Lonchura striata: one gene and its partners. The protein of the gene in region 1 interacts with the protein of each later gene in a biochemical or structural test. Links are inferred from orthologs where the notes say so. Each region holds a gene or a part of one and is shown in the gene's direction. Other genes may lie near its edges.

Region 1 (6,822 bases):
TTTTCCCTGACTGTAGCAGGTGCATTACTAGGAGGACAGGTCATTCTGTTCCAGGGAGCTTTGGAGTGCCCATCCCTGGAGGTGTCCCAGGAAGGGCTGGAAGTGGCACTCAGTGCTCTGGGCTGGGGACAGGGTGGGCACTGGGCACAGGGTGGGCTGTCAGGGATTTTCCAACCTAAACGATTCTGGAAAAAACCAAATTCTTGTATATCCTGTCACATTCTGTGATGCAGTTCTAACTGAACATCTCATTCACTTTTCATTTCCTGAACAGGAAGAACCAGCTTGTCAGTTTTTCTTTGACTTGAACAAGCATCAGGGAAAGAAACGTCCCTCAGAGAGGAAAGAGGGAGGGGACTCCCAACCTAAGCAAGCCAAGAAACCCCGTAAGTATGAGGATGCTTTTTTCCTGAGCTCTTCCCTCGAGGCCTTGGATGGACCACATCACTCCAAGTTGTTCCTCAAGCTGTTGAGCTGTCGGTGTCAGCTGGCCAGAGAGCTCTGTCACTGCCAGCTGCTGGGGGAATGCAGGAAGATGAAGGATCCCTCTTTTCCAAGGGAAGATTGGCTTCAGTAGGTGAAAGAAGGGTCAAGAGTGTAGTTTCAAGGCTCTTTGGGTCTGTGGTGGTTGTGGTTGGGCTGATGGCATTTACCCTCTGAACCAGATATGGCACTTCCAAAAAGCTCAGCTCAGGTATCACAGTTTGGGTGTGAATCCAGGTGTTTTGGGTGTGATGGATAGACCAGAACTGACAAGTGTGTTTGACAGCATCTGCCCTTGTCTTTACCTGTGCAGTAATTTTACCTCATTTTGATTTGTTTGCTTATCATTTGCTGGTGTTTTCTTATTAGTGAGCTGCAGCTATTAACTCCTGGAACTACTAAGCTCCTCCTTCATTAGGTTACAGCATTCCAGGAGAATGGCAGTCAGCATGGTCTGACTGCCACTACCTCCTTTCTTGCTGGAATTTCCCTGGCCAGAGCTGTGTCCTTCTGACACCTTCAGCACTTTATAAACTGGGAAGGGTGTCTGGAAAATACCAGGTTGTCTGTGTTGTGACAAATATCCCTTCTGCTAATCCTTGATTTCTTTCCCAACAAAGCTCAGCCCACGGGGCCCTGCTGGTTCTGCCTGGCCAGCCCAGAGGTGGAGAAGCACTTGGTTGTCAGTATTGGCACACATGTAAGTACCTGCAGCATGGGCTTTGCTAGGTCAGAATCATGCTAAGAGATGGCAAAACAAAATAACAATCTCCGATTTTAAACATAAAACAAACTTTATTTGCAGCTGGCTCTTGGGTTTGCCTTCAGTTCCTTTGCATCTCCTCTACAAGCACATAAGCTTTTAAAAAAAAGTGAAGTGTGGCCCAGTTTTGTTCCAGCAGCAGAGCTGGATTCCAGTGCCAGAATATTTTTTCCTGTCCCAGCCCTCTCTTACCATCTGGCAAAACTTTTCCAGCTGGAAAAAAGCTGGAACTTGCTTTGGGAGCAGGATGCACCAGTGCCAGATCTCTCTGGGGTGGCTGGTTACAGTTTTGTTCTATAGAGATGAAAAAGGTGTCCAAGATGTACTTCAAGATGTTGACTTTGAAGCTCAGTCCATCATTGTTATATGCACTTTCTGCTCCTGTATAGCATAATCCACTTACAGGGACAGGTTTGTCCACAGGTTTAGTTCAAATTTTTAAGTGGATTTTTGTGTCAGAATAAGAAATTCCTGCCTCACTGGTGAAGTTCACTCAGCAGCTTCCCTGCAAAGAAAACATTCCTCTGGCATTCAAAAGATTTTTTTTTTTTGTCATTTGGCAGTCTCTTTGCCTCTTTCTCATTCTTCTAGTGATTAATAAATTCAGTGTAAAAATAAAATAAAATGGCTAATAAAGAATCCATAATAAGCAAGATAAAAGACTCTCCTTTACTTGTGGCTACTCAGACTGAGTAGTCAGAGGGTGAATTCCTACAGCACAGTGAGTAACTGGTGTGTGTTGTTTCACTCTAGTGCTACCTTGCCCTGGCCAAAGGGGGTTTGTCTCCTGACCACGTCCTCATTTTGCCAATTGGGCACTATCAGTCAGTGGTGGACTTGTCTTCAGAGGTGCTGGAAGAAGTGACCAAGTACAAGGCTGCTCTAAAGGAATTTTTCAGAAGCAAGGGAAAGAGATATGTCCTATTTGAAAGAAACTATAGGAGTCAGCATCTGCAGCTACAGGTATGGTTTGGGTGTTGCTCTGGGAAAACATAAACTTGCACTGAATATAAACTCCAGATGAACACAAAGAGTAATTTTGGGGTTTATCATGGTGGTTTCTGTGTGTGCAGGTCTGTAAGTGTATCAGAGCTGTATCAGAACTACCACAGAGATGAGAAAGGAGAGGGCTGTGCTGAGAACTTTCAAGCCTGGGGTTTTCAGCTCTGTCCAGCTCCTACAGGGTAAAATGTCTCATAAGTTTAAGCCTGTAGAGATGGGTGCTCCCCTATCTTGTGTGATGAGGCTGAGCTGTACTGAGGAGCCCATGAGCTCCAGTGATGGACTGATGGCTTTCTGCAAATTCATTGTCTCGTCTTCTTTTATGGAAATGTCCTCCCTCTCCAGGTCATCCCTGTCCCACTGGACCTCTGTACATCTGAAGACATCAAGGAGGCCTTTATTACACAAGCACAGGAGCAGCAGATTGAGCTGTTAGAAATCCCAGAGCACTCTGATATCGCGCAGGTATGGGGCCAGATTTCACCTCTTTGCTCCCCCTGTGTCCTGCCTAAGCTGTTTCCCTCTGAGGTCACTGTGTGGGGTGGGGCCAAGCTGTTGGAGGCAGAACCTCATCGACTTGGTTTGGGGATGTACCAGGATTCTGCTCTGGGAGAAGTTCCCAGGTTCAACAGATGATTTCTCAGCTAAGAAATGTGAGCATGGCCTCATCCTCCAAAAATTGTATGTAGTAGGCTGGGTGACCTAGATGAGGTTAGGAACAACGAGACCTGCCTGGTTCTCATGTAGTCACTCACGGCAGAATTAAACCACAAAATGTCATAGGTGATCCCACCAGGAAGTGACCCACTGCTCCTTCCTCCCATGGAAGGTATTGTTGGAGGTGAGGCACTGACCTCAGGCAGTTTATGGGGTTATTTTTCCAAATTTCCTCCCAGAAGAGAGCATGGCATAGCTGAAGTGGCCGGGAGGAGGGTCTGCCTGTCACCTGCTCTCAGAAGGGTGGCCAGGAAGGGGCTGCCTGGGGCGGTGGTGGAGTCGCCACCCTGGAGGTGTTTAGGGTGCAGAGTGGGCGTGGCAGCGCCGTGGTCCAGCTAAAGGGCGGTGGTGGGTCCCAGGCTGGGCTCGATGGAGGTGTTTCCCAGCCGCGCTGATCCTGTGCTTCCGTGGTTCCCTCGGCACAGGTGGCTCAGCCGGGGACGCCGTACTTCTACGTGGAGCTGGACTCGGGGGAGAAGCTGTTCCACCGCATCCGCGGCCGCTTCCCGCTGCAGTTCGGCAGGTGCGCGCCGGCCCGCCCGCTCCCGCCGTGACGTCACGGCGGCGGGCGCTGACGTCACGGCGCTGTCGTTGCAGGGAGGTGCTGGCGAGCGAGGCGCTGCTGGCGCAGCCGCAGCGCGCGGACTGGCGGCAGTGCGCCGCCCCGCGGCCCGAGGAGACGGCGCAGGCGCGCGCCTTCCGCCGCGACTTCCAGCCCTTCGACTTCTCCCTCCGCGACTGAGGCGGCGCTGCGCGCGCTGCCGGCGCCGGCCGGTGACGCGGCAGTGAGGGCGGAGTGCCGGAGCGAGCGGCTGAGCCATGGAGCGGGCCGGCCCCCCCGCGCCCGCCGCCGGCGAGCGGGCCCCCGCCGGGGCGGCGCTGCGCGGCCACCCGGCCGGCGGCTGCGGGCCCTGGGAGATGCGCGACCGCCTGGGCACCGGCGGCTTCGGCAACGTGTGCCTGTACCAGCACCAGGTGGGGCCGGGCCGGGCGGCGGGGGGGGCACGGCCGGGCCGGGGCGGCTGACGGCGCTGTGTCCCGCAGGACTCGGGCGACCGCGTGGCCATCAAGTCGTGCCGGCTGGAGCTCAGCGTCAAGAACAAGGACCGCTGGTGCCACGAGATCGACATCATGAAGAAGTGAGTGCGGGCCGGCTGGCACGGCTCGGCTCGGCTCGGCACGGCGGCAGCGACAGGGAGAGGGGCCAGCCGGGGGTCAGGCCATGGACTAGCGGGCAGTGCGGGGAGTCAGCCCCGGACCGGCTGCGGAGATGGGACCGCGCTGTGGGGACAGCCGGGGGTCAGCCCCTGGGCCTCTTGTCACCTGGCATGCCTGTGCTGCTTTATCCCTCATCCCAGTGCCCCAGCTCCTGCCTTGGCCTGGGAGCTGGTGATCCCCAAGCCCCCTGCCCTGTTGTGCCACCTGGGCTATTCACCCATCGAAATTCCTCCAAACTCACACCACCCTGTGGGTTGAGTTCTGATGTTGTGATTTGGGAACGCCCACATGTTCCCATACCGTGCGGTACTTTTGGTTTTGATTTAGCAACCAGGGGATCCTGGAATTGCTTTTTTTTCTGTCACGCTGCCGAATGTAAAGAATAAATTCTCCTTCCACTTCCTTGTGAGAAAGTCCATGCTATGTGCTGCCCAGCCTCCCTCTCCAGTGGGTGAAACAGGGCTGGACAGCTTTGGTCTCATGGATGTGGGGGCTGCCTCTGGGTGTTTGGGTCTCACAGAACTGCTCCTGAGAGAGAAAGAGAGATCTTGGAGCAGGAAATCCTCTGTCCCACTGGTGGGAGCAGGGATGCTCTGAGTTGTCCTCCCCAAGGCCTGCAGTGACCCTGGTGTTCAGGGCTTTTCTGAGCTCCTGCTGTCGCTTTGTTACCCTCACCTGCTCACTGTGTGCCATGACGTGGGAAACCACTTGCAGGGAACACGAATTTTTAAGTCAAAGCTTGGGTGATGTTTGATTTGGGTGCTGGAAACAACCACTGAGTTATGAGCTGCTCTTGCATTGGTGTCCAGAGGCTTTGGAAGATGTAGAGGGGAATAATTTGCTTTCATTTCCATCTGGATATATTAATTCCCAAGACTAGCGTGTATTAGAGACAGTCAGGAAGTAGCTGTTTCTGTAGCTGGAATTCAGCTGCAGAAGTTAATTTTTCCCTCTGAATGTGGCTTTCACCTGCCTGGTGCAGTTACACAGGTGTTATGGGGTTTTTGTGAAATGACTGGGCTAGGGGAGTCTGTTCCTACATACACACACACACATGTAATGACACTGCCAGGATGGTGCAAGAATTCACAGCTTGAGTTTGGATCCCCATCACCAAAGTCCTGCACCTTGCATTTGAGACATCAGTTCTGCTCGTCACTGGTTTGTGTATTCCCAAGGTATGGGTTTTATGCATTTGGGTACGGTAGGTACCAGCTGATGAGTGAGTAAGGATTCCTGTGGGGAACAGAAGCTGTCCCTGGAACATAAAACGTGGTTACATTGCAAGCTGTTGTCTCATTCTCCCAAGAGAATTTTCATCCAGCTCTCTGTGTGCTTAGGCTGAACCATCCCAATGTGGTCAGAGCCTGTGAAGTTCCTGAGGAGATGAACTTCCTGGTGAACGACGTTCCTCTCCTGGCCATGGAGTATTGCTCGGGGGGCGACCTCCGCAAGGTAATGCCTGCTTGGCTTTCAGTAAAAACCAGATACCACTAACCCAAACAGGGCGTGGTAGCGCTGCTCCTGTCACCAGGCCTGCTCTGTGGAGCTTCTCTCTTTGGGTATGATGTCTAGAACAGAGTTAAAGAATAAAGCAGGGATTTATTAAAAGGATCTCCTCAATGGATCCACCTTGGGCAGCACAGGACCCCAGCCAGGGCTGCACACCAAGATGAACCAAAATGGTCACAAAATGCACAACTGCTCTCGGGGTCTCTCACTTTTAGTTCTGCTCCATTTGCGTATTAGAGTTAATTATCCAATTACAGCTCCAGCCCATGAAGTCCCATCCTGCTAGTTTTTCTCTCTTCAGCCCACATTGTTTGTGCTCTTGGGCCTGAGATTTGGATCACTTGTCCTTGGTCCCCAGCTAGAGAAGGAATTGTTTTGTCTCCCTGTTCTGTGCAGAGAGCTCACCATCCCATAATGTGAAGCTCAAACCCACACCCTAAAGCAGCAGAGAATCTAAAAAATATAAAAGCTAAACCCTGAGGCATCAGGTACACGTGTGAGGAAGTTAATGTAGAGTGGGAAAAAAAATGTGTGTGGGAAACGAGGCTTGTGTTTTTGAAAGCAGAGGGCAAGCCAAGGGCAGATACTCTTTTATCCTGGTGTGTCCTTTCGTGGAGCTGCTTTAGCATTAGTGCAGCTGCTGCCACCCAGCAGGTTTGGCTTTGCTGCTGTGTCTCCATCTGTTCAGAGTCTGACTGGTTGGGATTCATGTGTATCCAGTGTTATGTTGCAGTCAGCATGGGGAGTGAGCCTATTTCTGCTGGACTGGGACCTCCAGGGATTCTGAAGCTTTGCTATTCCTGTTGAACTGGGAACTGCCAATCTGCACACTGGCAACACCCAAAAATAAAGGAGCCTTTCAGTAGTTCTCCAGGCAGTGGCTTGGTGACCTGGTAGAGTTTGTGCTCCCCTTCCATTACAGCTGGATTCAGGAAGCAGCAATTTCTAGAGGGGTGAAGCAGCAAATCCCCATCAGGATTTGCTTAGAAATCACCTGGGGAACAGCTCTGGGGAACGTCAGCCAGTGGTGAATGCAGTAATCCCATCTCTTTATATGGTTTTGAGTTGTTAAAAACAGTCCAAGAAACACTGTTAAGGTTTAAGTCGCAGTAAAAGAAGGAGCATAT
Region 2 (7,730 bases), on another chromosome or scaffold:
AAAGAGATTTAACACTGGTAGCAGCAGGGTGAAGGAAAATTGAGCTATCACTGTTTTTCTGAGTCTGAAATCATAGAGTTGCTTTCCCCCAAAGAGAGAACAGATAGTGGTGTTTTCAATAGATGGAATTGTTGATCCAGGTGAGAACTATCACCCAGGTGCTGTCATTTTACTAGTCTGGAAGAGTATAAGAAAAATAGCTTATGGCTGCAATAATTTCAGTAGTTCTTTGTAAATGATGCATGAGAAGAGGTTTAACAGGTTTTGTTCATTCATTAATACATTTATTTTGAGCAAGGATTCATCCTGAAACTCAATAATATTATATCCCTCAGCCTTGTGTCATGCCTTAGGTAGGTAAATATATTTGTTACACAGTTACAGCTGGGAAAAATTGAACCATGAAAGGATCATGACTTATTCAAGGCCAGAAAAATCCTCTGTAGTACAGCCAAGAAGAATATCTAAGTTAGACGTCAAGCTATCAATATTCTAAAGACTATCTGACATCAAAAATGGAACTGATTTCAGTAGTTAGTGCAATATGTACAAACTAGTGATAAAAAAAAATCAAGGCAGCAGATATACTGTACAAGGACTACACTCTAGTTTGCTGATTGCTCTGTTGCCTGTTTGTCTTTCTTAAAAGACAAACTTAAATTACAAACTCTTTGGGAAGAGATAACCTTTTTGTTTTGGATCATATGGTAGATAGACCAAAAAGTTCACCAGTTCATGTGTAAATGCTACAGCAAAAAAAATTGTTAAGTGTAAGGAATGTAACTAGACAATGCAGGAGTGTTGTAAGTAGCATCATCACCACTGTTTCTTAAAAATAATCTGGGAACTGTTATTACATGCTTTGGGAGAACAAGAAGATTTAAGTACAGCTCTTTCCTTATACTATGTGTCTGAAACTTAGGTCAAAACATCACCCTCAGTTTCATGGATCCAAAAAAATTTTTTAACAAAAGTTCTGTTCCATATGGACTGAATTGTGAGGGGAAAAAAAAATCTTTAAAGGTGTTTTCCATTAAAATAATAATGAAAAGCATAAGTAAAACATTAAGGAAATAAATTTATAAATAGCAGCAGACTAGACATTCCCAGTGTGTGAGCAAAAGCCCCTATAATTTTCTGTAACAGATTCCAGTTTTACTTGACATTCTCTCTCCTGAGAAGTGGTACAGGATCCTGCTTTTCTGAAGGATACCTGTTATGTTATAAGGTACACCTGTTATGTTATAAAGTAAGAATGGCATCAGAAAGATGGCAAAGCATTACTACAGAAAACAGCAATGCCGGCAGATTTCAGTAGTACCTAGGAAAGTAGTATGAAAAGATCCTCAGATTGGTTCTCATTTAGTTGCTTGACTTTTCCATTACACAGAGGAGTAAACAGGAAAGGATTTTGGCTTAAGAGCAGGTTTGTTTTCCCTTTCTCACAACGGAAAGAATGAATAGAAGATCAAGGTGGGGATAAGTCTTTCTACACAGACTAACAAGACAGGGAGAATCCAGTTTGTATACAGTATTAAAGCACTTTTTGCATGTTTAGTCAAGACCAGAAGCTATGGACTGTATTATCTCTCATATTTATTCTGTTTGTGCATGATGATGCCTAGGTTATATATTCAGGGGCACAGCAGATTCCTATCTCTAGCATGTTGAAAATTGTTGACTATTCATTACACTGTTACAAGTTTTGTGCAACAAGGAAACTCCTTGGCTTGCAAAATCTTAGTGTGTTCCCAAACAGAAGTTTCTTTGTGTACAACGGTAGATGTTCCAAATATTGCACGATGCTAATTTGAGGCCAAAGGCCTCTGTTTCATAACAAACCCTGAGTGCTGTTACTTGTGACTAAAAACTGCTAAAAGTCTCAGGTTACCTTCTAGAGCTGTGTTTTAGATAGAATGAGAAATAATCTGTGCAAGAGGTAACTGAGTATCTTTCAGAGCTCTTAAGCAAGTTTTGTACTTTTTTTCAATCAGGTCAGCTTGTTTATTTAAGTGCAAAAAAAATTTTAAGAGCAAATGAGAAAACACAGATGTCAACCAGCATGTTCAATTTCTGATTTCAAAGTGGTAGAGCCTTTATATTGTGCATAAATCTGTGTTTCATGTCAGCACTGCACTACAGAGTGTTCTAGAGTGAGGAATGGAAGACGGGTCTTGTTATCCATTATGTTTCCTTCTCTGGTCACAGCACTGTGGAGAAACACACTTTTGAAAATAAATAAAGTGACTATAGGCACTATAGGCAGAATGTAATTTATTTGAATTGAAATTCAGCCACTAGTCAAAGGATAAACAACAATGCACTTTTTAATGAAGAATAGTAAGTTTTCCACTTTGCATCTTATCCAGAAGTAATGCAAAACCTTGACAGCACTGGCCTTACTCAAAAGGCAAAGTAATGCCTTAAAAGGAATGGTGACAGCACCTGTCTCCTTTTAGCTGTTTCTTACAGTGGTGCCTCTCACTGTCCCTGAATTTTATATTTTGCCCTGTTCTTAGCTGCTTTCCATAAAACATTTCACCTCAGTGTACATGCAGATACACCACAGTGTAGAATTCCTCAGTACCCCACTGCCACTCTGACATTTTCCTTGAATTTTCTGTTTCCTTCTCCCTTGTTGGAGTCTTGACACCCTGAGAGAGATGTCCCCTAGAACTGTCATACACATTGTGTATATACCCTTACCTCCTAGATTTAATTTTATTGAAGATATGCTGCTTCTCCTCTGTATTATATTCTGACCAATTGCTATTCAAAGGAATATTCCTCTTCCATTTTAAGAGCATTTATAAAATACCTAGTCATTTTGTTCTGTTTAGATGTCTTTAAAAGCATAGGGGTTTGTGTGGTTATTTTCTTTCTTTTTTCTGTAAATGTGATTTTATGGCAGAGAGGAATATTTGAAAAACTATAATAATGCACTGATTTGCATGTAACTAATTTCATGCTGTGTCTACAAAGTGGATACTTTGTTATCTTGTTCCCATGAGTAACCTCCTCACTTTTTCAATGTGTCTTGGTCTAGGAATCTTCCAGAATACTCTCTCTAATTTACAGCAGAGGCTTTAAGTGTCAAATGCTACCTTTATGAATTAATTTACATTACAAGTTGTACATTAGCTGTACAACCATTAGTTGTAAATTGCAAGAGAATATTAGATGATGGTCTGCTTATCCCAAAGAAACTATACCTGCAAGATGACAAGGAATACAACTGACCTTCTCACAGCACTCTTCACTGAAAACCTTGCACAAGGATGGTTGTAGTGTGGCATCTTGACAGATCACCTAAATGATTCACTCAGTGTGACCTCAAGGCCTTACCTACTGATATTATTCTCTAAGTATACAGAGTACAAAAAGTGTCCTCAGGCTTTTGTCTAACGGGAAAAACCTCTTCCTATCTGCTCATCACATCCTCCAGCAAAGACCCTACATTTAGGTCAGCTTCTGATCATATAGGTAACGCAAGAAAGAATCTGCTTCTGCTAGAAGGTAATTCTCACTCAACTAGTGCTTCAGATCAAATCACTGATCCCAGGAAACTGACCATACTAATAATCATTACTGATACGCGTAGTTAATGTTACACTTGCATACCCACCAAATTCTGAAAAATACGCTTGAAATATTCAGCTAAAGTGCTTTAAAATGTGACTTCTACTTTATCTAAAAACCACACCGTCCCAAAACCAAGCTTGTATGCATAGCAATATTCAGTTTTCCTTTTCTCATCTCAGATCTAAAAGCAAAACCACCCCAATGTGGTTGAGCGAAAATCCCGACAAGTAGAAAATTTACTTGAACCTCCCCAAGTTTCTGGTCATGTGATGTCTCCTGCCTTTCTTCTCTCTCGCAGTCTCTCAGGAAACAGCCGCAGCGGTAGGTGTGCGTGGCAGGGTATAACCTTTCCTACATGTGCATGCCTGCGCACACAAGGAGACATTAACGCTTCTCCGAAGTTTGCAGACATGGAGAAGTACCTGAGGACGGGGGGAGCGGCGCCGGCCAACTGAGGGCAGCCCGGAGAAGGACGCGCGGTGGCTACGAGCGAGGATGTGCATTTGATTCCCTCCTGACTGCAGAGAGGGACGCCCAGGTGAGCTGGGGCACACTTGTGAGGCGATTCATCGGCTGTACGCAGCGAGGCACCGCGGGCGCTCCGCTCCTCCCGGCCCCTCGCCAGCTGCTGGGGAAATGCTGGCGAGAGGAGAGGCTCAGATTACGGGGGTGCGAGATGGGAGGGCTCCGAGATCCGGGAAAGGCTTCTCCGGCCTCGCACGGAGCTCAGCCCGCCCGGCCGGCCGTGCGCGCCCCGGGGCTGCCGGAGCCTCCGCCGCTCCCGCACGTGGGGAGGGCCGCGTGGGGCGGGGCCGCGCTCCCCTCTTGGCGCCTCCACCGGCTCCCTGGCTTGGCTCGGCCGCACGGACGGACTCCGTCCGGCTCCAGACCCGGCCGCAGGCCCGGCCCCAGCCCCGCGGAGCAGCGGCGGCGGCAGGCGCGGCTCCCGCCCGGGTCCCGCCCCGACACCTGCGCGGGGGCGGACGGGGCGCGGCCCCGCGGCACCTACGGGCGCGGCCCCGCCCCCGGCGCCCGCCGCCGCCAATCCGCGCCCGCCGTCCGCCCCCGCCCTACGCCGTTTGCGCAGGCGGCGCCGTTTGCGCAGCGCGCCGTCCGCCGGCGGCCCCCGGTGCTCGGGAGCCCGATGTGACCCGACAGAGAAAATGGCGGCGGCGGCGGGGGATCGCGCCTCGTCATCGGGATTATCCTCGGGCGGCGGCGTGGAGGCGGCCGCCGCCGCCGCCTGCGGGAGCCTGAAAGGCGGCGCGGTGGCCGGGAGCGTCGCCGGGAGCGGCGGGGGACTCTTGCGGGAGGCGGGCGGCGGCAGCCGAGAACAGCGCTCTGACTGGAGACGGAAGCAGCTGCGCAAAGTGCGGAGCGTGGAGCTGGACCGGCTGCCGGAGGCGCCCCTCTTCCTCGCCGCCGCCCCGGCCGCCTCGTCCTCTTCCTCCTCCTCCTCGCCGGAGCCCCCTGAGACGCTGCTGCTGCTCCACTACCTGCCCGGGCCGCCGCGCTCCAGCCCCGCCAGTCCGGCTGCCTCCCCCAGCCGCTGCGCCGAGCTCCTGGAGCCGCTGCCGGCGGGGACGGGCGCCGCCGCGGAGCGGAGGATGGAGCCGTCCCCCGCCGCGAGGTGAGGGGCGCCGGCGGCTGGAGGGGCGGCGAGGGTCGGTCCTGGAGGGCGCTGTGTGACAGCGGCGGCGTCGGGGCTGTTCTCGCGGACGGGGCTCGGGGCGGGCTCCGCCGCCCCGTTCCCCCCGGCCGTGGGAAGTGGCGGATGCGGGGGCGGCAGGAGCGGCCGCGGAGCGCAGCGCTGGGGCGCGGCGAGCAGAGCTCGCCCGCCGCCCGCCTTCCCCCGGGACACCTGGCCCGGGGCTGAGGGAGGGGCACGGCCGGGCCGGGCTGCCCGCAGCTGTCAGCGGTGCGGGGCTGCGCGGGAGCCGAGCCGCGGAGCGGAGCCGCGGGGGGCGGCCCGTGTGGCTGCGGGGTGCGTTTGTGTTCGACTTCTGCCGGAGTCCCGAAAGGCTTTGAAGTGTGAGCTCGGGGCGGCGGCGCGGCCGGGGCCGGATGTGTCAGCAGCCATTGGGGCTCGGGGCGAGCGAGCGCGGTGCGGGGCCGGGGCCGGGCTGCGGGCGGCGGCTGAGCGCCTGCCTTGCGGGCTCCCCAGGCGCTGCCGAGTGCTTTGCTGCAAAACTGAGTAATCGACTTTATTATGTTTTCATTTTCCCCTTCCCCCTCCACCCCACCCCCTGAATTCTCCGAAGTCAGATTTTAATTTGCTGCCTCGCGATAATGCAGAACTGATTTCTTTTAGTAACAAGAGGAAAGACTTTGAAGCATAAATATCCGCACTCTTTTAATAGGGGAAAGTAATTTTGTCGTGGCTTCGTCTAGGTGATAAATTTCAGTGGTTGTACTCAGCGCCCTGGTGTTTGCAGTCTGTCTTTGCCTTCTGTGTGTATTAATTGATAAGTCCATTTTCTTCTGAACTACCAGTATTTTGCCTATTTGCCTATTTATGTTTGCAAGTACTCAGGTTGAAAGCGAACTTATGCCCGTGGTGAAGGAGTTTAAGTACTTTAAAACACATTTCAGCTTTAGCATGTACTCGCTGGGTTTTACTGGTGTATGTGTGTGTAGGCACTGCAGTATGACCATTTAATTTTGGTGTGAAGATGACAATTTCACCTGGATCTCTTGTAAGGTTTTATCTGGTGCGGACTCTAGTTTAAGAACTTAGTTTAAACATCCAGGGACCTATTTTAGTGATGCCTTACAGTTTGGCTAATCATTTAAACCTCATAAAAATATAATTCCTGTTTGGACGTGACTTGTGTTTTCTTTTTAGTCGCATCTTATGTCAGTCAAACCTCAGGAATATTTTTTAAAGGTTGAATTACCATAGGAATACTGTAATAAGAACTGTTTCCTAGACTGATGACTTGTTTATATTTATTCTCAGCAATTCAGATGGATTTTGGCCTGTTCCTAGGGCAGTGTAAAAATACTTCTTATAGTGTGATTGTCCAGATAAGAAATGGCTCTGTACTTACACAAGGATTAGCAGGAAATTGTAGATGTTTTAGGGAAGGGTAATGATGTAGAAGTTCTAGTGAGTGCCTTGTCTTTTTAAAAACTATTAGCACCATCTTTGTTTTTATAAAGTCATGGTATTATAATGTACTGTATATGATAATACAGTTATATCAAGTTTCATGGCTTTCAAGAAAAAAAAATAGCATCAGAATATGTTTAAAGAGGTCGAGTCTCAAGGTGGTAGCAAGTGGAAGTCAGGCTCAGTGTTGGAGGTGCAGGAAGGTCAATGTGTGTCGCATCAGTGCTGAAATGCTGCATCCATCATTGGTAGTTGGTCCCACAGCAGCAATGACAAAGCAGCTGTGGATATATTTTTTTGCCTTTTCACATGGACAATTTTGCTTACTTTTAGGTACCTGCATTTGGCCAAGTGAGTGTATTGAGTGTGTATGCAATTTAAAATACTTGGAAGTGTTTTGTGCTATTTTACTAGGAATGTTAACAAATCTTAGAAAATACCGAATGCCAAAAGCTTTTCTCTTCAGTATTTCAGTGAGTCTACTTTGAGTTTCTTGTAAGAGCACTTGAAAATACATGACAACTTTAACAATGATTGTCCTTCAGAAATACCCATGCATGCTCATGTAGCTCAGTGTGCTGTATTACCAATAAATACATATTAGACCAAGTAGTTTAAATCAAGTTTAGATCAAGTTGTTTAAAAAATTTAAAACATCTATATGGCCTCATTTTAATATTGACTTGTTTCAGCTGGAGGAGAGAGGCTAATTGATATGCGAGTAATAATAATACTCATTAAATTTGTCTGGCCAGCTGTTGCCGAGATATTTATTAAGAGGCAAACTTAAAGGTATAATTTAATGAATGTTTTATGGGGAGGTTTTGAATGCAGTTAGTTGTACTTTACCTGTAAGGATCTACTATTAGTTAGAAGATATATTTGCTCCAAAGTCCCCCTATCAGTCTCTTTGGTATTACAGTTACTTCCTTTTAAATAGATTCTCTGTTTCTCTTTATGCTGGAAGACCTTCTTGATCCTCAAAACGAACCTGAGAAGGGAAACTGACTGCTGTTGAATTATAGATGTAAATATT
Region 3 (7,967 bases), on another chromosome or scaffold:
AGTGCTTCTGGGGTTGGAGCCAACAGTACCTACTTTCTGTACCACTAAAATAGCAGACGCAATAAGAATAGCTATAGGTCTAAAATAATCCCAAAATCAGGGATATGAGGAAGCACTGACTGAGAATTAGACACTGATCTGTAAGAAAACATGTAGTGAGGAAGAGCTAATTACCTCTCTTCCACTAGTTGTGTACCTTGCATATTAAACTGGAAGTCCTTCGAGCAGAAATTTTAGCACCTGATTTGCGGAATTTAGTGTATATTGCTGCTTTCAATAACCTCATAATAAAAACTGAAGTCAATCAAGTTCATGTCAATGGAATTGTACTGAAGTTGAGTTAGACTAGTCGTATCAGAACTAAAAATACTGCAAAGCATACCAACTACTTATAGAAAAAGAAAGACAAACCAGCAAGAATGACTGCATACAAGCCTACTCATCCTAATCTCTCCCCAGCATTTTCACTAACTCCACTGGAGAAGGAGTTTTACAATACCAAGCTTACTGGCAAAAAAAAAAAAAAAAAAGAAAAAACTCAACTTAGATTCCACACTTAAAAGAAGCACAAAACTAAGAAAGTTATGAACCTCAAAACACTCCATGCAGCTTAAGCAAAAGGATTGCTTATGCAGGTTCCTGAAAAATCCCATCACATCCACTATCTTAATTAACATGGCAGGTTTTTTTCAGGCTAATTCACTATCTTTAGAAGTGAAGTATGAAGTAAACAAGAGGCCAGTGATAAAACTATATTAGAAAGCAGTTTCAGGAAGAGGACTGATGAACTTAAAAACAGCAACAAAAAAAAAACAAACCACCAGCTCAAAGATAATAAGGTAGCACATAGGTAAACATAAAAATAATGTGTCCAGAGAAACTGAGATAAATTCTCAGTAGAAGCAAAATGGAAATAAGAAAATGCACAAATTCTCTATGATAAAGTGAAGTAAGTGCATGCTAATTTAATTTACAGAATACATTTGTTTGATGTATTCCTTAGAATGTAATCCTTTGAACTTTTTATCTTTTTTATTCATAATATAAAATTATAGTATTTTTACAAAGGAGGCAGAACTAGGCCAGCCCATTTACAATTCCTAGTGATAATACAGGACAATCAATGCCAAAAATAAATCTCCCCCATCTGATTTGTCCTAAATCTTTAATCTCATTAGTTTTGCACACTGATAAAGGATAAAAGAAATCTGAAAGAGGATAAGTTCCTAGGCATGGTAAATTTTATTTAGCCTATTAGGTTACATAACAATAATGATAAAATGTTCTGAAGGGGTAAAACAACTTGTCATACTAAAAGAAGGTGGTTTCACCACCTACCCAATGCTACACAGTCATCAAGAGGAAAATAACCACATGTAGGAGGCACTGTGAGAAGCCTTTCCAAAAGCTCACTGACAGTAACATCTGTATTTCCTATCTCTATTTACAACAGCATTTATAAACTCCAGCACTGTTTCCAAATCACTGTATGGGAATGGTACCAAACTTACTCTGAGAGCTGGCATAAGGAAAGGAGTCTTTTAGTGTATTTTCTAACTAGCATGAGGAGTACAATTAATACTGCAGCATTCTGCACTCCTATCATATTGCTCAAAAGAGCAATATAGTAAGTTAAAAGCCAAAGACAAAACAGTTACAGTTAAACTACACAGGGAATTCGACTGGTGTGAAGAAAGCTGGCAACTCCAGGCCTTGGAGAATACTAAGCTGACTAATGCTACAGCACTGTTGATTCAGCTACCTTTAATACAGCACAATTGCCTGGAAAATTCTTACCAAATTCTTCACATAAATATCTAGACATTTTATGTCTTAACTTCCTTCTACCTGTGTTGATCTTCTTAAAATACTCATGAATGCAAACTCTATGAGATAAGCAAAAATAATACATTATAGCAAAAAAGAAAAATTTCTTAAGTTAGTCTAAGCAAAAGGGTGACAAGCTTCAATGTGACACATACACTGTTAAGTTGCAAAAATATACCAGCATGCAAGCAAATACCCTACTGAATATTAGTCAGTTTTATCATCTACTGTACCATGTGAAGAGATCATGACTAATCACAACAAAAATAAAGAAAGAACACATTTCTATATGAGACAAGGGCTACCACAGCCCTCAGGAGTGCAGTAAACTATCTTGGAAACGACAGCACCGAACTCACAGGGAAATGTCAACTTCATACTGACTTCCCATGACTGCACAAACACACTGAGGCACAGCCTGACACTATAGCACCAATTCAGAGCAAAATCATTTATTTTCAGTTTAGCAATACATTTTAATTCTTTTTGTGCATGTCTAGATCCTTGCAATTACTCGTTAAACTAGCAGATTCAAAACCAAGCTGGGACACATCACTCCATGGGCATGTACAGAGCATGAAAGGAAAGTCAGAATATGCTGTAAACACTTAAAAATGTATCCCTATGCCCTCAAAATTATGAGGTGTAAGCATATTTCTCTAGCTTTCTGGAAAAGAGAGTATTTTGTAAAAGTATTTCTAACAAATTTTTGATAGGATGTAGCTATCAGCCTTTCTTTAGCTCTTGCTAAAGAAAGATAATTTGTATTCCCAAAATAATGCATTATACGAAGTCAAATTCCATTAATCATACTGCTCTTTTATATTCAAGTACTGTCTGAAAATGTCCCATAAAAACATTTTTACATACTTTTTCTTTCAAGAAGATTTTAGATTTTCATAGCCTCTTTTCCTTATTCAGAGTTTGCACAAAAGCAACTCTGAGTAATTAGAGTCACCTAGGTAGACTTCAACTTAAGCAAACATACCAAGCAATAGAAAGCATGCAGATATTCAAGAACACTAAGTCAAGTTTGAACAGGAGATTTTTATTGGATCTATGCCCAAAGAGAGTTAACCATGTATGTCTTTCTATTCAAGGTATCTAAAACATCTATGTCCATATGTATTGTATGCACTATATTTACCATGCATTTTGTAACGACTTTATCACCTAAAGCAATGTTTACTGTATCCCATTTTAATCTTTCCTTTCCCCTCCTAATTGTTCAGGAAAACACACAAAATTTAAAATCAGCACGTGCAAGTAGATTTCATCTCTTCTATGCCACCATAATATTGAAATATCAGCAGGAGCACTGGCAAAAAGGCAATTTCTTATCCACGTGAACTGCAGCACAGGTGGCAAGGAGGGAAATGCTTTAAAAGAGCGACTATATGCCAAGTTTAGTAATTGTACTTACAAGCTATACAGCCACTAATTGTGTCACTAAGAAACACTGTTAAAAGTTTAACCCGAACTTCCTGAGGAATTAATACTGACTGCTTCTGTACCCTTGTGAATGGCACTTAGAATAAGCTACTGCTGCCAGAGACGCGCTCCCTGTACTTTTCTTTAAAATTCATTGCGGAAAAGCACAGATTCAAGGGTCTGGCCGTTGATAAATAATAAACTCTTGACTAAAGCAATGCGATTTTTTCGCAACTGAGAAGGCAGTCTATCCTCTGAACAACGAAGCAACAAGTTTGGCGAGTTACTTTCCCTCCACTACAGGGCTTATCTATTTTTTAGAGTACGTAATTTGATCCAAAAATACACTAATTTCGAAAAACTTTCAGACCCAGGAGATCAGGTTTATTTCTGCGAGAGCGACAGCTCGGGCAAGCGCCTCTACCCCGGCCTGCAGCGCTCGCCTCCCCACCTCCGTCCTCGGCAGCACCTCTGGGGCACTCCCGGAGGCTTCTACGCGCCGGGGAGCAGCTGCGGGGCGGAGATGCGACACTCGGGGCTCGGCCCCTTTCCGGATGGCGGCGCCGTTGTCAGGCAACGGCCGCACAAGCGGCCCCACCGGAGGGCCGGGACCAGCCCGGCCGAGCCGAGCCGAGCCGAGCCCCGCCGGGAGCCCCCACGGGGACCCCCAGACCCAGCGGTGCGCCCCCGCCCCGTCCCGCCGCCCAGCGAACGCCCTTCGCGCCCGCCGCCGCCCGCTCCGGGCTGTGAGCGATGCTGGCGACGGAAGCCCCCGGCGGGGCTGCGAGCAGAGTCCCCGGGCGCCGCGCCGCCCCCGCCCGCTCACCGGTACCGGCAGCCACGGCTCCGTCCGCGCCCCGCGCGTTCCTGCCGGCCGGAACGCGGCGGGCGGCGCCGGCAGCGCCCCCCGCTGCCCCGGAGGGCGGCGCGACCCGGCTGCCGCTCCTCCCGGGCGGGGAAAGGAGCGGAGGGGAGGCGGCACGGGCGGGCTCCCCGGGCTGGGGCGGCGTACGAAGGAGCGCAGCGGGTCACCTGGTCCAACCTCCCCGCTCCGGCAGGGCCACCCTACAGCGCGTGGCGCAGGATTGCATCCACACCGTTCCTGAGTCTCTCCAGCGAGGGACACTCCACAACCTTTCTGGGCAATCTGTTCCAGTGGTCGGTCACCTGCACAGGAAAGCAGTTCTTCCTCATCTTCAGGGCGAATTTCCTATGCAACAGTTTTCTTGCCTCTTGTCCTATTGCTTGACACCTCCCAGCAGAGCGCGGCTGCATCCTCTTGACGTCTTCCACTTTAGACACTTATATACATTGATAATGCCGCTTCTCGGTCGTCTCGAGGCTGAACAGGCCCAGATCCCTCAGCCTTTCCTCGCGAAAGAGACGCTCCCGTCCCTTAAACATCTTTGTTTACTCTCCGCTGGACCCTCTCCAGATGTTCGTGTCTCTCTCGTACTGAGTGGCCCCGAACTGGTCACAGTAATTTAAGAAGCACAAGTCAATAAATAAATGGATATAATAGAAAGGCCTCCGCCCGGCCGGGGTCGCGTTTTTGCGGTGCCGGTTCACGGGGCGAGCGCGCCGGGCGCGGCCGCGTGCAGAGCCGGGCGCGGCCGCAGGGGGCGCAGCGCCGCGCGGCCGGGCCTGCGCGGACCGTACCACCCTGCGAGGTGCCCCCGGCCCGCGCTTGGTTCCGCCGGCGGCCCGGGGCGGCGGTGCGCGGCCGGGAGCGCGGCCGGGCCATGGCGGCGGCGGGCAGCGGCGCCTCCGGGAGCGGGATGGCGCAGAAGACGTGGGAGCTGGCGAACAACATGCAGGAGGCGCAGAGCATCGACGAGATCTACAAGTACGACCGCAAGCAGCAGCAGGAGATCCTGGCGGCCAAGCCCTGGACCAAGGAGTGAGTGGCAGGGGGCGGCAGGGCGGGCGGGCGGTTTGGGCGGTGAGGAGCGGCCTGACGGGATGGCTCTGCCTTCCCTTCCGCGGCCTCTGCCTTGTTGCAGCCACCATTACTTCAAGTACTGCAAGATCTCTGCGCTGGCGCTGCTGAAGATGGTGATGCACGCCAGGTCCGGCGGCAATCTGGAGGTGATGGGGCTCATGCTGGGCAAGGTGGACGGGGAGACGATGATCATCATGGACAGCTTCGCCCTGCCCGTGGAGGGCACCGAGACCCGCGTCAACGCGCAGGCCGCCGCCTACGAGTACATGGCTGCCTACATCGAGAACGCCAAGCAGGTAAGGACAGGTGGCAGGGGGTTCTGACCGCCCCCCGTGGAGATCCTGTGCCTCTTGTGAGCTTCAGGAACATACCTGGGGCGTTCCAGGCTTCCTCCCTCCCCCAGAGAGGAAGTGCCTGCCCGGTTGTCCTGTCTCTCCTCAAACATGGCAGTGAGAACTGTCAGCAGCACGGAACGCAGGGGCCTGTAAACATTTTCACATACATATTTCTCTGACTTACAGTAGGTCATCAGAGGTTGGACACGATGATCTTGGAGGTCTTTTCCAATTTAATGATTCGTTGGAAAGTAGTGCATTCTCCTTCCCTTTGAAAATTACTTTCATTGCTGAGGAAGTGTTCTTATGGCTGCTGGTTGTGCGACATAGTGTGTTTCTAAAACAACCGATACTTCTTTCTAAAAACAGTATGCAGAATTAAATATATGTGTGTGTTGGACTACTTAGTATTTATAGATCAGAATTATGACATTCATTCTTACCTTCTGAGATCTTAGTGTATGGTATGCTGCTCTATTCCATTAAAAAAGACGTTTGTGAAGAAAATGTCAGTGAAGGAATAAGTAAGTTTCAGTGAAAATTAATTATTCATATTTATCATTTGGAAATTTAGATGAACTTGCTTGTCTGTTTTTCGTCTTTGTCACTTTCTATTCAAAGAGCCATGTCATATTAAAGCTGACTATACAGTGCAGTTCTCATGTGCAGAAAGATAACAGAAGTATAACTGTGCTCTGTGGCTGATATGTAAACCAGCACAGAACATCAGAGCACTTCCTGATGTGCTTCTTCCAATACAGGGCAATTCTATGCTAGAAATAAGAGTTGAAATAACTTTAACTCTCCAAGCTCAAAGAGTTTTGATACCCAGTTGACGCATTGATTTTTAAACCAGCTAAAATTAGAAGCCCTTTACATACTAAGTGGATATAACAGAGGAGTATTTGGGTTCTTTTGGAGAGTTGGACTTATGTTCATAGCCATAAATAGAATTGAAGATATGGAAATGGATGTGCATTAGGCTGAATCATAACATCAGCAAACAGTAAACATAATGCAGAGATAATTATGTTCTAGAACTCTTGTTGCAAAAAGTAGGTAACTTGAAGAGATGTCTTTGCCTAAAGATACAGTCATGCTATCTTTAAATAAAGATATATTCATAGAATCCCATTCTTAGGTAGAAATACTGAATTTCAAAGTGGTAAGTATATAGCTTAAAATTATAAACAGCTTGTCTTATGTTTAAAACAGTCCAGGTTTCTGTAGGAGTTCTTATGTGATAGGAAATGTTTATTTCCCCATTGTTTATGTTGTTCAGTTTTGTCTGTAGTTGGTTTCACAATTTTGAAAATGAACTTGTGTGCAAATAAAAGAACTCTACTTTCCTGGTGCTGTGGCAGAGCTTTCATGCTGGCTGTTTCATATTTGATTTTGGCAAGCACTTGTTCCTGGAATATTTCTTTTTATCATTAGGTGCTAGTTAATATGCATCCTCCTATAGAAATGCTTTATAGATGCTGCTGTTCCAGTTAGTTGCTTTTCCATGGACAGGATCTGGCCTTAATGTAGTTTAGATGTATCATTTGGCTTTGAAAAATAACACACGTTCTTTAGTGTTTTGTTGGTGTTTGTCATGCAAGCTGTAAAGAAAATACAAATATTCTTCACCAGTTAAAAAATACAGTAGGCAATTCATGTGTTTTGTCTCATTACCAGAGCAGCCAGTAAACAGTTCCTTAGAGAGGATTACAAAAATGAGGTTCAATGGGTGTTTATTCTCCTCGGTTTTTTTGGCTTTGCTCCTTTCTCTTCCAGTATTTTTAGAGATAGCCAGCTGTATTATTTGGAAACTCCTATTTTGAGGTTTTATCTGAGAAAAAGTTGTCCAAAACTCATAATTTGGCTTTTAAACCGGTCTCCAGGCAATAATTTCTGTCATTTCTGGTGTTTGAAAGCATACCTTTGAAGTAATTTTTTAAACCTACCACTGATCTCATAGTATGTGCCTGTGAGATATGTTACCATACTAAAAAATTAATTCTCTACTGACGTTCCCTACGTTATATGAGGTTATATATACTTGTGTTATATCGCTAAGAAATTTCTCAGCCCTGCTGAGCAGCTGCAGCTCACCATCCAGCTGTGTGGAACCTCTTCTGTACTCCAGCTGTCACTGAAGAAGGAGCCCCAGGCTCCTCGAAGGCCTTTGTTCTGTGGCAGCAGCTGTAGGAGAGAATGCCAGTGCCACTCATTGTACGGTTTCTAGGGAATATTTCCCCACGCGTGGAAATTCCCGTTTATCCTGCCGCGCCTTGCAGTGTGCTGGAAGTGCCGCTGGAGGGCAGGCGGTGCTTTGGGAATGGAGCTGGACGCTGGGGCTGTTTCCCTTCCCTGCTCTTTCTTAGGTCGGACGCCTGGAAAATGCCATCGGCTGGTACCACAGTCACCCCGGCTACGGCTGCTGGCTC
Region 4 (7,829 bases), on another chromosome or scaffold:
AATTCCTATGGCAGAAGAAACCCCTTCCCTATATATTTGTACAATGCTTAGCTATCTGGAATTTTCCTTGCACTGCAGCAATAAAACAGCAGCAATATAAATCAAGTTAGCTAAATTTAACTTTCTATACTGTGTTAACATCGGTCCTACTCAGTACACCTGACCCAAAGTGACCTCATAGATTGAACTGAGCATGTATTTCATGAAAGTGACAAAAGAAAGTGATAATGACAACAAACAGCTGCTTTTGTTTGCATTAGCTAACTGGGTGAAACACTGCTGAAGAACTAAAGCCACAGTTGTGTAATGAGAAGAACATATGTCCCTTGGGAAAACAACTGGGCACCTGAACTAGGTTCTGATGGATGTAATCAGATAGAAGTCAAAAGTATGTATCATTCAGATATGCAAAATACTATGAAGAGAACCCAATCATCTCATATATTAAATAATGACTAGAGCACAGGATATTAATCATAACATGGGGAGGTGGGAAGAGAAGGGAGTGCATGCAGTGGACTGGTAAGACCTGCTGCCAGTGAACTCAAATGGCAGAAACCCATCCCTCTACTTCAGTGGCTGGTCAAGGTGTTGTATAGCTGAGTGGCAATAAGTGAATCACTCACAATCTGAATTAGGCCCAGATTCTGAAGACCTGACTGGCAGTTCATTAGATTTATTACCAGACAGCACAGCTCCTGACTGTAACAGCACTTGCTGGAGCAGTTTGCTTTGGGCTCTAATCTGCATGAACTCCACATTGCTACAGTGCTACACTAATGGTTCTCTGAATGGTTTCTACAAACACAACCATTTCTATTCTGTCAATACATGCACATACTCTTGTACAGTGTTATTCTGCTCGGCCACTAAACCTGGGCTGCCAAGTAGGACCAGCCTAGGCCACACTTTTGGAAGAGAATGTATGTTCTGCATGAAGCAGCTTCAATGCTCTGATGAACTGGTCAGCTCACAACTTCTCACAGTGGTCTGGGTAGCTCCATTGAGAGCAGCTACCTTGCAGCAAGTTCACAGAGAATCTATAAACCACCACTTTTGGAGTAATCATCTGCCAGTGGAAAAGAAAAGAAGGAAGAAGGCATAGCATTACACAGACAAATTAAGGGAAGGCTAGGCTAACCATTCCAAAAATTATATATATCAAATTGCCTTCTCTACTTGGCTCTTTCAATGTCCTTTAGGAAGTGATACCCTATCATGTATGACAGTTGTAAGTAAATGTTGAGCAGTGTTCCCTTTCTTGTTTACTTCTAGCTCTCTCCAAAGGCTCCCTTTTCTCTGATAATTATACCCATCAGCCATATCTACAGCTTCATGGTTCTCTTATTTAAGTCTACTAACTCCCCAGTACCTGTCCCCCAGTAGTTATTCACTACTGAAAACTCCTGCCTTCAGCTCTGGCAGTCTTACCCAAAACATCAGAAATTTAGTCTTTCAGCAGAGATACATGCCTAAACTACAGTGGGGTTAATATGAGATCCCATGTCTGATTTGTGGCTCTGGAGGAAGCAAGTAAGAGGTACATTTGGGATGTGGCCTATGTAATTACAGGAGCCACCACACTGTTCAGAGCCTTGCAGGGTGTTGCTCTGATGAAGTATGTGATGAATTGCAGCCAGTTCAACATCCAACAAAAATGACAGAGATGATACAAAGTACTTCTCATGAATGCTGCAACATAGGGATTCAGCAGCACCATTAAACTCTACACCCTGCTAGCTGCAGTTCAAATGGTTGGCTTTGCAAATGTACATTGGCTATTTAGAATATTTTTTTCAAATATAGTTTCTATTGTCAACTTCATTAGGTCTTCATATATAGTCTCAGAAAGATGACACCATCTTTAAAATACAACTTTTTTTTTATTTTTTTAACATATTTTCTTCCTGTGATAGTGGTGGATTCAAGCTACAGGAGACAATGGCAATGCCAACAGCAAATATTGGCTAAACACTGACAACTTCTACGAGACTGAAGTGTGTTAAGATAATCATTGGCTACTATGTAAGGCAAATCAGTTTTTAAGTTAGCAGTTCTGGATTATCTGGATGAGAAAGAAATAATGGATTGACCAGAAATAGATTTGGATAGTATGGCATAGTAGCTCAATGAAGATGGGCAGTTGAAAGCTTTAAAAGGAAGTGTCTCTCAGTAGCTATTTTAAACTTTCCTTTACCTTTTCCTGCTTTAGCCTCAAACCTACTACGTCAAAAGGAATGAAAAGAGCCTATCCTGATTCCAATACATGCGTCAGAAACAGAAGACAAATAATGTAAGAAACTTTCATGAGTTTTTCCAATCCAGACATATCAATTAAAGACTGATTATTTTAAAAAATCTCTGCTTGTCTTAGATGTTTATCTATCATTAGTTACATGATTAAAAAATACTGAGGCCAAAGATTTCTGACCTTGGAAAGAGATCTGTATATCTGGAGTCCCAGAGCAAACCAAGCAGAGAAGAGGCTCAGCTTCTAAATTACATCTGCATATCAGGAAACTTAAATGTCCCCCACCTGACTGAGGTGAAACAGCCTGGTTAAGCGTACAGCTAGAAAGCCTTTCCTTCAGTGCACCTGCCCAGCCGCCAGAGACATGGCTGCAACCATTTCACAGTGGTTCAACAGCTCAACAGCAGGCATTTGCTCCTTTGGGTTCAGGTGTGATCACCTGCTCCTCATCTCTGGGCTGAGATTGTCCAGCTACTGAAATAACTTGATGGTAATAGTGGAAACCAGTGTTATTCAGGAAACAGGCAGCACTTCATCACTGCGAACCACTGAGCCTGTATTATCTGCCCGATTTCCTCAGTGGTTGGAGCAGAATTATTTGGCTCTTCAAGTGGGAATCCTGGGCTATAAAGCAGTACATTTATCTAGAGTGTTCTGTGAAGATAATTTTACCAAAGTGTGGGCTTACAGCCTGGCACTACTGTGGGTGTCAGTAGAAATAACACTTCAGCTATGGTATTAAGCTCTAAAAAAGGCAAATTTATGCTTTAAATATAATTGAGAAGAGGATTTTATTTTTGTGGATTTTTGTGGAAGCTGCTTAAGATTTCACAGGGAAAGCTAAGCCTGAGTACTTAAATGCATGTCCTTTTAAAATAAATCCACCAGGTAAGTCTCCTTAAGTTTTGGAATTTATCCACCTTGTCTGATTTCCTGGTACTTGTTCATACATGTTTTGCCCTGTGAGCACACCTTTGATTAGGTATGACATGGCACCTTTCCTTCCAAACGAATCTTATTTTGAAACATCTTTGTATTTAAAATCCATCTAGACTTCCTCCTTCAAGGGCTTTGGGACACAATTCTTTCCTCACAATTCTTTCCTATTAATTCAATGCATTTTCTTCCATTAAAAAAAAAATAATATTGGTCTTGAATATCCCCATATAATAAGGAAAACATGTTTTACTCGGAAATGCTGAGTCATTCTCAGCTCCCAGTATGTACTGGGAAGAGAATGGGGGACTGCATTGTTAGAATTGCATCACAGAGCATGAGTGGCAATCCAAAAAAAGGAAATTACTCCCTCTTCCTATATATTTATGTCTAACATGTAGAAAATGTCATTTTTCAAGACAGCAAAGAAAATCCCTTTCATCTCCGAGCTCTCTTTTGCATTCTCAGCTCTCATTTTAAATAGTGTCTCTCTGCTCCAACACAGAGATGTGACACAAAATGTAACATCTGAATCTACTCCCTTTCTGGTAAAAATACCCCTTTCATTTTGTTCCAATCAACAGGTGGCTTATGATTGGCCTCTCTTCCTTTTGAACATATTTTTGCTCTAGGTTACAATTACTTGCTTCAACACAAAAAAAGCAACAGTCATATTCCTTGGTTCCTTTATATGTTTGAGGTTTTAAATTCTTATTTTAAGCTATGATTTTTGTTAATCTCATTCATGAAGCCCCATGTTATGTGGCCTTAGCATAACAAAACTCCGCAGAGGCGTGCTGCTGACTTTCTGCACAAACACACATTCAGAGAGCTATGCTGGATGCTCATTTGAGACACTCGTCACCCTTAGCAAACCAGACGTTTTAAGATTTAGCATAAAAATATTTGAACTTGTTTTACATAGTATTTGTGCCAATTAAACGTGGCTCTAGCTGCCTTGCTTCAGCCTTGGTTAAATGTGTCTGGGAGACTTGATTACCATGCTGCAAACCTGGATTCTGGTATTAAAATCACATTATTGATGGTTGGCACTGTTCAACAGAAGCCAAGTTACCTGGGAGCCTGCTCTGTCAGAAACTGTGTAAGCCTACACACAAATGGTGCCGTGCAGCCCGTACTCCCTGCCCAGCGGCGGCAGGCATCGGGCGGCAAGAGTCGGAAAATTTCCTTTAATGAACTGCCTGGGAAAGCCAGCTAGCAGCCAGGCGCTGCGGCAGGGGGGTTAAATTCACCCCATGCAGAGTCTCTCTCTCGCCTTCCAAACTTTATATCTAGAGGTCAAAAAAACTTCGGCAGCCACCGGGTCGGGCCCGTATCCACAGAGATGTCGCGAATTCCGCCGTGGTCCAAGGAGCGTGGGCAAGGACGGGATGATTCTTGCGGCGGCGTAACTGCCCTGGGATGAAAGGACCCGCGTGTTTACGCGGTTTCACCCGGGCGGTGAGCCCGTCCCCGGCTCGGGGACCTCGTGGCCAGCGGGCGGCTCGGTACAAGCGCGCCCCGGCCCCTTCCCTGCCGCGGCCGCGCCTCCTCCCGCCCCGCCCGCGCGGCCCTCCGCGCTGCCGGAGCGTCAGCGGGAATTTCCAGCAGGAAGTGCGGCGGGCCGGCGGCAGGGGCGGAGGCTGCGCAGGCCGGTGCCGGGCGGGCGCCCTCGCCGGTGGGGCGGGCGGAAAGGAGGGGGGACTCCGCGCGGAGCCGGGCGGCGGCACGCCGGGTTACATGGCGCGGCGCTGAGGGACCGCCGGCGGCACAGCACGACGAGGAGGAGGCGCCGCCAGCTCTGCTCCGGTGAGCCCCGGGCGGCCCCGGCCCGCACTCGCTGCCTTCCTTCTCCCCTGTCTCCGCGTCCTCGCCGGCGGGAGCGGGCATTCCGCTGGGCTGGGGCAGGGATTGCGCGGCTCTCGCCTGCAGCCAGCCCGGGGAGGCGGCGGGATGCCGGCTTTGCTGCTGCTGCTGGGTTACCGGGCTCTTCCTGGCGAGGGAAGGGGTGCCCGTGACAGCAAAGTGAAAAAAACTTGCAAGCCCAGCTTCTGCCGCTCGCGTAGCGGGTGCTCGTAGGCAAAGGAGGCGCTGCTTTTGTCGCTTTTGGTTTCGAAGGTGACACACGGACGCGCTGAGCCTGGGACGCGGCCGGGGCACAGTCGCCGGCCGGGCTCAGGAGTGCAGGTGGGCACCACGGAAACGTGGGCTGGTTCTGGCAGCTCTGGTGAGCTGGTCTTGGCTGCTGCCCCAGAGTGCCGCAGACTGATTTAGGAGGTACGAAATAGTGAGGTTTTTAAACGTAACGTAGTTGCAAGTGGTGAAACCCAAAAGTTCTCGTCGCGACCGGGAGTGTTATTGCAGTGATTACTCAGTTACATTTGACCTTGAAACCCAAGAATATCGAACTTCTCATCATCGCAATTATTTTTTCATCTCTTGGTGCTTTCTGCTTTGGTGAAGGAGAGCTGCTGACTTATTTTACGTGAATGTGAATCGGAGTATTGTTTCTGTGACATGAGGTATGTGCTCTTGGGCCGTTATCATCATGTGTACTGCTGCGTATTTTCAAAATAAGTAAATCTCAGTGCCTGTGAGCATTTGGGGAATAAGACTTTGGAGGCAAGGGATCATCTGCTGCATTTCAACTTCCTGTCTTAAAATGCTCAAAATCTTCGCTTAAGAATAATGTTTTAAAGGAAATACATATTATTTGTTATCAAGATATTTTAAAATAGTTCTAAAATGATGATCATATTTGGCATGTTTCGTGCTCCAGAAGTCCTCTTTTCACTTACTCTGTTCACAGAGAAAAGTGGATGAATTCTTTGCCGTATTGCCTTGTGCCTTACATGCTGCAGGGTGTTACCACCAGCACTGTCAAGCTCACAGAACAGGGCTGAAAATAGAGCACTTCGATTTTATTGACATCTGGAGTCTCTCTGCTGTGGACTGTGTAGTATCAACTTTTGAAATAGTATTTCAGTCAAAGCACTTGTGTTCTTTCATGAAAGAAAGTAGCTGCCCGTTCTAGGAAAGCGTTAACCAAGACGTCATTCTAAGATAGCATCTTGTCAGCAATGTTTTGTAATCTACAGAAATGGCTACAGTTTATGAGAAAATGAAAGAGAAAAACGTAGTCTGTAACCATCCAGAAACAGATTCTCTGTTCCGTAATTTTCCCTGGCCTGAGAATTTAACTAACAGTTACGCAGAAATACTATTGTCAGGATGTGCCACAGTGCATGGAGATTTCGGGGAACCTCAGTGCTGAAATCTATGCAAGACATGTTAAAGAACTTAATTTGAAATACAAAACAGAAGGGAAAAAGCTTTCTTTCCACCCTTTGTCCCCTTTATAAAGAAAGAAATGTCAGTCAGTGGTAGAGTCATCAAAAAATGTAGTTACTGTCTCGTGCAAGAAATGAATACATTTTGAGTTAAAATTATAAAACAGAGCAGCTTTATATCACTTTGCATTGTGTCGTGTGTTTTTAAAAAACAGGTTTGTAACAGATAAATTAACTATCTGTATTCACTTTGTTCCGGCAACACCTCAGTAGTGGTTTGGTAGTATTTATTTTGAAATCAGAAAAGTCTGCTGGATAAAAGTGTTGGGACAGAGAAAAGGAGTAAGAGGGAGACAGGGTCGAAAGCAGACACTGGTGTTTCATTTATGTGCACGTTTGATGATATCCTGCTTCATTTGTTCAAAAATAGCAGTGCTGGTTACTTCTCTGTTACTACGTATTTTACTTTTGAAAATTAATTTAAACAATAAATGTAAGTTTTCTTTAAAATTTTACTTCTAAAAATTCAATAATAAATTTAGTTTACTTTTTTTCCTTGAGGTGGCATTATGTGACTTCAATAATAGATACCTGCAAATAAATATCATTGATGCAAATTTGCTAATTAATAGATTTTTGAGGTTCCTTTTCATTGCTGCCTTTTCCAAAACCTTCCCATGCCACTTTCTCATGAGTACATGCAACCAATACATGCAAAGATATATGTTCTGTTAGGAATTCATATTATTGTGCATATTGCTGACTCTGGAAAGATGGGAACTAAGTTTGAAGGCCTGTGAGTCTTTACTATCAGAGGTGCTTGTAATGCAAAGTAGATTTCATTTTTGAAGTTGCAAAGATACAGCGAGAGAAAATGTATCTTTTACTAGCTTACTGTTGGTTTTTTGGTATAGCTAGTGATGAGAAAATCCACCTGTGGTCCTCAGAGATGCTGATTAATTCTACTGTGTTTTCACAGATCGCTCCAAACTACTTGCTGAAATACTTTCACCTTTCACTGCTGTGTTTGCCAACTCTAAGTACAAGAGTATCAGTCATAAATAAAATTACTTGTTTATGTAAGCAACTAATGAAAGCTCTACAGTTAGTTAAAAATCCTTTCTTTCAACGTACTGATAGCTTTCTTTTGGTTCTCTGACAAAATAACACAGCTATTATAAAACAAAGAGAAGATAATGAATGGTTCAGGCAGGTAATGAAAAGGGCAATTCCTGGTTTTGGTCACTTTTAGCTCTGACAGAGGTATTTTAGAAGTGGAAGTTGTAATTTGATGTCCTTTAAAATAAGCTGTGAACCTTTTATGAAGTTCTGTGTTGATAAGATCATAATTA

What was found.
Region 2: of the proteins of CHUK (region 1) and MAP3K1, one has a biochemical effect on the other in vitro, tested with the Homo sapiens proteins (3 studies listed by BioGRID). The link is inferred for Lonchura striata from reciprocal best matches to the Homo sapiens genes CHUK and MAP3K1.
Region 3: of the proteins of CHUK (region 1) and COPS5, one has a biochemical effect on the other in vitro, tested with the Homo sapiens proteins (2 studies listed by BioGRID). The link is inferred for Lonchura striata from reciprocal best matches to the Homo sapiens genes CHUK and COPS5.
Region 4: of the proteins of CHUK (region 1) and NFKB1, one has a biochemical effect on the other in vitro, tested with the Homo sapiens proteins (3 studies listed by BioGRID and IntAct). The link is inferred for Lonchura striata from reciprocal best matches to the Homo sapiens genes CHUK and NFKB1.

The regions. Positions count from the first base shown.
Region 1 is NC_134609.1:37,312,727-37,319,548, forward strand, and holds the start of CHUK (inhibitor of nuclear factor kappa-B kinase subunit alpha), read left to right. Parts: upstream 1-3,810; 5' UTR 3,811-3,883; coding exon 3,884-3,940; intron 3,941-4,009; coding exon 4,010-4,104; intron 4,105-5,523; coding exon 5,524-5,638; intron 5,639-6,822. Other genes in the region: CWF19L1 (CWF19-like protein 1), read left to right, coding at 275-386, 1,104-1,183, 2,000-2,209, 2,594-2,713, 3,391-3,488, 3,563-3,707.
Region 2 is NC_134642.1:31,200,087-31,207,816, reverse strand, and holds the start of MAP3K1 (mitogen-activated protein kinase kinase kinase 1), read left to right. Parts: upstream 1-4,730; 5' UTR 4,731-4,745; coding exon 4,746-5,212; intron 5,213-5,585; exon of another isoform or gene 5,586-5,613; intron 5,614-7,730. UniProt on the Homo sapiens protein: Component of a protein kinase signal transduction cascade. Activates the ERK and JNK kinase pathways by phosphorylation of MAP2K1 and MAP2K4. May phosphorylate the MAPK8/JNK1 kinase.
Region 3 is NC_134603.1:34,859,623-34,867,589, forward strand, and holds the start of COPS5 (COP9 signalosome complex subunit 5), read left to right. Parts: upstream 1-4,967; 5' UTR 4,968-5,000; coding exon 5,001-5,158; intron 5,159-5,261; coding exon 5,262-5,496; intron 5,497-7,904; coding exon 7,905-7,967. UniProt on the Homo sapiens protein: Probable protease subunit of the COP9 signalosome complex (CSN), a complex involved in various cellular and developmental processes.
Region 4 is NC_134606.1:48,747,452-48,755,280, reverse strand, and holds the start of NFKB1 (nuclear factor NF-kappa-B p105 subunit), read left to right. Parts: upstream 1-4,829; 5' UTR 4,830-4,996; intron 4,997-7,829.